Drosophila melanogaster: one gene and its partner. Changing the gene in region 2 together with the main gene of any one other region gives a genetic interaction. Each region holds a gene or a part of one and is shown on either strand. Other genes may lie near its edges.

Region 1 (3,932 bases), on a different chromosome or scaffold from region 2:
TCTTGTACAATATATAGATGTGGTATATATAGACTAGAATTCGAATACTCGTACATCTCGATTTACAGTAATCGATGACATTTGGAAAACATACAAAAGATGGGAATTAAAACAAACACACAGATTTCAAACACCAAAGTTGTAAAGTAACAAAAAATTGTTTGCATAAAGTATAAGGAATGCGTTATGTTTCAAAATAGGAATAGCAATTAAAAATGACAAAATCAAAAATAGGTAAAAGATGTTCATGTAACTCATCAAGGCAATTCGTTCTTTTCAAAAAAATGGTACAAGAATATCTCTGTGTGGTAGAAAATGCCTTATTCGCGTTAAAAATTAGTATTTGAAGGTCAATTGACTACTATTAAAATATATCAAATTGGTATATATTGGCACACGGTGATTATTCTCTAAAACTGAATACGTTCGCGTCGAATATCAGATATATACAAAAATTTCGTAAAAACGTACATATTTGTTTTACCTGTATTTTGATTTCTACATATCTATTAATTTTTTTGCACGACTATGCCGCCCAATTTGATTGTATATTGATTAGTACGACTATCATCAAAAATCTGCCTTCTTAAACATTAAATGATTCTAACCTAAGTTAGATGAATAAAAATTAAGGCAGGGAATCACATTGAAATTTTGTAACCGCGTTCTACAGCAATGTTTCAACGAGCGAACTAGCCACTGATTGAACACTTCTGGGAACTGTTTTTAATCTGAAATGCCCAAGCGGCTTTCTTATCGATATTGAGTGGGGCTGTCTGTTGATAGGCAAGCTTTCAGTCTGGTATTGATAACTCCGAGTAACCCAGGCTCGGATCAATATTAATCACAAAGGGCAGAGTTTGGGTGAGCTGGGACGGACTGGTGGATGACTTATTTTTTAGTCTTATCGCTGGTAACTTTGGATTTTATGTGCTACGGCGGCAGAACTTACCCAATGCATCACAGGGCGCTCCTCGGTGCAGACGCCCATGTGCGTCTTTTGGAATGACACGAGGTCTATTTCCAAGGATGATGTCCGTCGGTCGTGTTATGTTTGTCGTTGTGTAGGCTGTGCGTTGTGTCTTGCGAGCCTTATGCCTCCTTAAAAGGGCTGCGGTGCTACGTTGGTCTTGGGTAATCCTCTACACCCCGGCTAGATGTGCTATTGGACACTTGACACTGGCCACGATTAGATGCCCGGCTAGGCTCGCCGGTAATAAGTGTGCGCACAACTTGATCTATTACTTTGCGGACATGCATCACTTCGGCGTTGTCTTAGAGATTGACACCATTGGCTTGCCTTTTCTTATTGCACAAACTACGATTTGAATGCCGCTTTTTTTAAACTTTCTCCTTAGCACCAAGGTAATATAAGGAACATAGGGTCACACACTCACTAAAACACTTGACTCGGCGGCAGGTAGGATATTTGTATTGATTAGAAACCGCCCCTGTATCTCGAGCGCAAAGGCGTTTTCGGACCGCTGACGACCACCGGTTAGCGTAAGAAATCTAAAGTTAATTTATGACATTAATTTACGAGACAGCGCGAGAATGGCACATCAGATCCAAATTGAGTGGTAAAGGTCGGCCTTTGTCGGGCTCTTCCTACGACACTCGACGATGCCTGTTACTGATAAGGCATTAGAGACAGAGGCGCGTATGCGTATGCGGCTGTGCTCCCTTGTGTTGTTGTTTATGACCGGGCAGGCGATTACCGATCCAACTTCAGTTTTGTATCCGTTTCGCCAACTCCCTGTTTCTGTGTCGATTCTCCTTCGATCCAGTTCTGGCAAACCGAAACTACAGCCGAGCTCAAGTCAAAACAAAAATCGAATACGCGCACCGCTTCCAAAAACAAAAACCGACTCAAATTCGAAACTCGACTACCGACTTTGGTCTGCAGCTGATCTACTCAAAATCGTGAGGACAACCAGCCGTCGCAGCTGAAAAACTGGGAATGTTTGGACGCTGTGCGAGCGCAGCGCCAGAAGCCAAAAAACTCCACCGCCCCGTTCGCCGTGTGTTTGCGTGCGTGATGTGCGCGCGCCAGTGTGAGTGAGTGCGATGTCGCGCATGAGCTGCCATCCTGCTTGCACACACGCTCATTCCGCAGCTCTCACGTAGTGGCAAATGGCGGCGCTCTCAGCTGATAGCGTCAGTAGCTCGTTCCCGCTCTAGAGCACAGCCAGTAGACGAAGAGGGCGTGGTGTTCTATCCGCGCTCTCGCACCAGCCGAAATCGCCTCCCCACGCACCGCCCACCGGACAGTTGGCCGGCTGCAAAACGTGAATAAGGCAGCGGTAGCAGCAGTCAGGAGGAGTATAAGCTGTGCGCCAGACGCCACATGAATGAGGATGGACTCCAGACTCGAACTGGAAGCTGCGAGCGGAGTCCGTGACAGGAATTCCAACTCGCAGAGGACGAACAGTGGTCTGAGGACGCACAGGGGAACGAACTCTCACACCAGCGGGTCTTCGGTTGACTCTGCTGATTCTTTAGTTGTGTAATGAAAAGATGCATGGTGTCTATATATGCCGTCTTCATGCTGAAAACATCATGCAGAAAAGTTGTAACTAACTTACTGAGAGCTATTTATTGTGTTTTCGTATGCTGACGCTATAAATGTTGAAAGAATATAGGTTCGTTTGACAGGTGTATTTATAATTCTCAACCAGTTCAAACGCTACCAGCACTACGCCCAAGTTGTCGCCTGCTTCCAATAAGAACTGTCATCATAGAACCTTGCTGTCACTTCTCCTTTAATTCCGCACAAGCTTGAAACAAAGTGCACACAAATCTCCAAATGGCTTAGGGAGCAGATTTAACGTTAAATACTTTTATTGCAGTTACAGCTATAAATATTCAGCTTTTGTGGTATGCATTCACTATGATTCCACAAATGTTTGACATTTTGAGTGTTTTGCCGGTTGTAACTTACATATATTTGGCAAGTTTTGGTTGAGGTTACGGTTACATTTTAATAATGTAAAATATTTGCCATTAACTGCAATGCATTTTCAGAATTTCAACCAGCTTACGTTGATTCAATCGTTGAAAAAGAAATTTTTTTAAGTGTAATTGTTAATATACTTCTGCTGTTACATACATAAGTTCGCCGCTGCTTTTTGAACTCTTCGCAGAAAGTTTTAAAACATGTATTACGTATTTGAAATGTTTGTGCGACTTAGCCTTCGCATTTAACTTTATTTTTGGGCAAAATGTTTCACCTCGTTGTTGCTATTGTTGCTTGTTGACTTAAGAGGGCTTTCAAAGAACCCCGGTTAAGTCGGAACTGATTGGGTGGATTGGTTGTGGACGTCGGCACAGATTTTGGGTCCTTATTCCTTACGAATATACACAGCTGAATTCTCATGATTTTAATATTGACAAGAGTAAATGCGAATACATGCAGTATTTTCAGACCATTATAATTGGTACAGTGCCTCATAATAATTTGTTTATAGATTCTTTTAAATTTTACATCTTTTTTTATTGTAAACAGGCCCATCTTACAAAAGTGCGTAAAATATACTAATACATTATAAGAGATGGGCACATAAGGACAAAATAACGGTAACAGTAATCATTGGTAAAACATTGGTGTATAAACCGATTTGATCTTTAATAATTGTAGATTTATGTATAATAAACGTTAATCATGTTATGTGATTATTAGAAAATATAACCATCTCATCCCTCTGTTAGAATTCTACTCTACAATACGTAATAAGGGTATACTGAATTCGTGGCAGTTAAGTTTTCTTTAGTCAACATCTAACGAAATACTAAAAATATGTAGTTCGAGTCACTCCGATACTTTTGAAGTTTTTAGATACCATAAATATAATAAGTGGTAAGTGTAAAAGAAGGGGGCAGGAACCTGTCTCCCTCGAAGTTAATTTGGCTAAGTAAGGGATATCTAATAGACG
Region 2 (3,932 bases):
TGAATAGTGACAAAGGGCTAATGAAGATTGCGTTACATTCGATCAAAAGTATTCGGGCTTCCACATACAGTAAGCTTTCCAGACAAATATTCCATGAGTATTTTACACCCAAATTAAAAAAAAAGAAAAATTTAATTTGATGATACGTTTTGTTATTTAATTTAAAGCAAAAGGAAACCCTAAAAAATTACATGGTTCATATAGTTGCGATCAATTAGCCATGCAATATATACACATTTTAACTGATAGCTTTAAAAATAGATCAAAGATCGTTAAAGTATCCCATTTCCTCATATTTACCCAAAAGCTTTTTGACATCTTGAACATAAGGGTCATAGAGGTATGATTTTTGTCTGATTTCCGGATCTTGAATTAACTCGTGTATTTTAAACGTATTCGCTTTAACGGCCACAATCATTGGCGAAAAAGTGGTTAAAAGGAAGAAGTCTGTAAAAATATTGAAGTGGTTAGGCTTATTGAAACTAGGCGATAAATAAAATAGGCACTTACCATAAAACTTGTGTCGGTGTATTTGCTTCCACAGACCATCATTGGTCGGCATCTTGCCCTTGTAGCCAACTTTTTTTAACGTGTCCTCCAAAACCGAAAAATAAAAGTTAATAAGATCCTTTCCGAGATCCCATCGCTGCTCTGGCTCCATGAGCATGTACACAGAATAACTCAAATCGATTGTAATGGGACACAGGTTACAGATTTGGAAATCTACAAACATGACCTCCTCATTTTTATTGAACATCATATTTCGGCCATGAAAATCTCCGTGACACATCACGTAGTATCCATCGGATTGAACGTTCTTGCGATATTCCTGCATTACATCACCCATACGCTGTATGTAGTTCTCTTTTATTTTCTCAAAGTGTGGCTTGTACTTTGTAAGTTCAGGAATCTGGTCCATCATTTTCAAAAAGTTGTCCATTCCAGTAGTAACCATTGGATCCGACATAATAGAAGGCATTTCCATTAGCCCATACTTGAAGTCTTTCAAGATATCAGGTTGCTCATTCAAGACTTTCATGCTAACAGCATGCCATTTGGCCAGTTTGGAGAAAACATTTTTGTATTCGTTCATGTTTATTGGACGATCTCGGATCACGAAGTATCCCTGCGGCACCAAATCCTCGAATATTAACACCTGCCGAGGCTCTAGACTGTGGTAGATACAGGGCACAAATAGCTTTGTATCGTCGCCTGCCTCCCGGAGAATTCTCTCGAATTCGGGCAGAGCCTTAGTGTAAGCATTAATCTCGGTGGAGAACAAATGTGAGTCGCTAAGCATATCCTTCTTGTGTCCTTCTTGTTCTGGCATCGTTTTAATGATTAGCGGCTTACAGAACTTTCCTTTCGAAGTGGTATACTCAGCAGTAGTACGGAACATTACGCTTGCGTAGTGATCTCCCTGGGCACTCGCCGGAGTGATTTTAAGATCGGTAACCTCCAGTTCCGGACACTTTTCGTAGGTTCTAAGAACGTCAGTAATAAACTGGGCATTCAGCCATGCAGGAGCCTCCAGCTCATCGGCATTAAATTGCTCGGTATCTGCGTTTTCTGGCATTTTTATTTCGCGCTCTCAACAAACAATTCGGAATGATGTTTGATCTGGGTATACTAAACCTTCCTATGTGCCCACTTATTATAAAGGCTGGCTAAGTGAGCTTTCGAAAGCGGCTTGAACCTTTTAACACGAAACTTTTCGATTTTGTGTGAAATACGTCTACTCAATGATCTTATCAATATGCATTGAAATCTGTTCTACAGGACAAATACTGTGATCAATAGAAACTTACAAATAAATCAGATATTTATTCTGTTCTATGAAATAATATTTAGGTCAGGTGTAAGAAGTATAAAACGCTAAAAATGTTTAATGTTAGTCCAGCTTACTGGATTATCAAATGTTTGAAGACGAATTAAATTCAAGTTTGCCCGATTTTATACAATCGTGATACAGATTTTCAAAATAACTATGTTGTTTCACTATAACTATATTTTCGAAACTGCATCTTGACAGAATGTAAGACGTAAGACCGTAATCCTTATGGCCATGGATATGCTTTTAGATTCCTGGAAGGGAACATATCTCCCTGAAGCCCACTTTTTTCAGTTTGATGTTGGAGTAAATTGGGACAATGGTATTGGAGCGCATATGTGTAGCTGATCTTGAAATCACTACTGCCACAAAGACCTCTGTTTCCTTGTTCTATTCTTTAACATCGTGTTCCGAACATGATTAGGATAATGACTTTTTTGATTACTGAATGACACATTGCCAACTTTAAGTTTATAATTTAACAGCCCTATCCGTCATGATGTGAAGTCATGATGATGTCAGCAATATTAATAAAACAAATTCCAAGATTTTATTTATAATAATAATATACATATTTGGTAAACGCAAGAAACGGATTTCAGTAAATATATATAAGCAATAAAATAATAAATGTATGTTTTAAATGTTTCTTTTAGAATTTCGAAATCAATAGCGGGAAAGAACTTTACCTTGAATGCATGCAACTTTACACGTATATGTTTGTTAATAACGAGTGCAATTATGTAGGTAAATGTGAAGTTATTTTTTTATTTCAATTAATTTTATACAATCGGATTAAAGATCTTTAAAATATCCCAGTTCTTCGAATTTTCGCAATAGCATCTTGACATCCGTAATGTATTCATCCAAAAAGAAAGACTTTTGTTTCGTTTGCGGATCAAAAAATGAATCCATACTTTTAAATGTTTTCGTATTCATGGCAGCCACCAGGGGTAGAAAGCTGGTCATCATGAAGAATTCTATAACGATGTAACAAGGAATAAGCATACAAGTCAACAGCTGTCTTTCAATTTTAGTTCCTTACCGTAATCCTTATGGCCATGAATATGCTCCCACACTCCTGTCTGAGTTGGCATTTCACCTTTGAAGCCTATTTTTTTCAGAGTGTCCGCCAGAACAGAGAAATAATAATTGATATATTCCTTTCCAAGATCCCAACGATCCTCCGTATCCATTACCATGAAGATGGAGTAAATTAGGTCAATGGAAAGGGGGCAAACATTACTGATCTGGAAATCCACCAGCATTACGTCCTCGAAAGACCCTGTTTCCTTGTTATACCTAAACATCATGTTGCGCCCATGAAAATCCCCGTGACACAGCACGTAGTACCTATTTGGCTTCGGATTAGTGCGATATTCTTCCATGACTGCACTCATCTGCTGAATGTAGTTATCCTTTATTTTTTCGAAATACGGCTTATATTTCGTGAGTTCCGGAACCTTGTCTAACATTTCCAGGAAACAGGGTACTCCAGTTGTCACTATAGAATCGTTCAGAAAGTTGGGCATGCCCCATAACCCATACTTAAATTCCTTAAGAAAGTCAGGTCGCTTGAAAAGAAAAGTTCTTACTTTGTTATCTTTTGCAATGGATGGTGCACTAGTTCACCTCATTTAAAACTTTCATGCTGGCTGCATGCCACTTTGCCAACTTGAAGAAGGCTTTCTGAAGTTCTTCTTTATTAGGATAACGATCTCGGATGACGGTGTACCCCTGTGGCACCAGATCCTCGAATATCATCACCTGATGAGGTTCCAAGCTGTGATAGATACAAGGCGCATAGAGCTTGGTAGTATCCCCTGCCTCCCGGAGAATTCTCTCGAGCTCTGGAAGAGCTTTGCTGTACATTAAGATCTCCGTTTTGAATATCGGCGAATTTGACAGCATATCCTTTTTGTGACCTTCCTGTTCCGGCATTGTTTTAACTATCAGTGCCTTGGAGAAATTCCCCTTGGCGGTGGAGTAGTGGGAAACAGCTCGGAACATGACGCTGGCATAATGATCTCCCTGCAGAGTCGCAGGACTAATTTTCAAATCAGTTACATGCAATTCAGGATCCTTTTCATAAGCTCTTAGA

Evidence for each region.
Region 1: of CG11893 (region 2) and ap, changing one enhances a phenotype caused by changing the other (phenotypic enhancement), as found in Drosophila melanogaster (one study listed by BioGRID).

The regions. Positions count from the first base shown.
Region 1 is NT_033778.4:5,724,869-5,728,800, forward strand, and holds the start of ap (apterous), read right to left. Parts: upstream 1,965-3,932; 5' UTR 992-1,964; coding exon 953-991; intron 1-952. UniProt on the Drosophila melanogaster protein: Required for the normal development of the wing and halter imaginal disks.
Region 2 is NT_033777.3:25,287,571-25,291,502, reverse strand, and holds CG11893 (uncharacterized protein), read right to left. Parts: upstream 1,615-3,932; 5' UTR 1,577-1,614; coding exon 511-1,576; intron 448-510; coding exon 263-447; 3' UTR 137-262; downstream 1-136. Other genes in the region: CG31098 (uncharacterized protein), read left to right, coding at 1-7; CG13658 (uncharacterized protein), read right to left, coding at 2,627-2,811, 2,877-3,405, 3,464-3,932.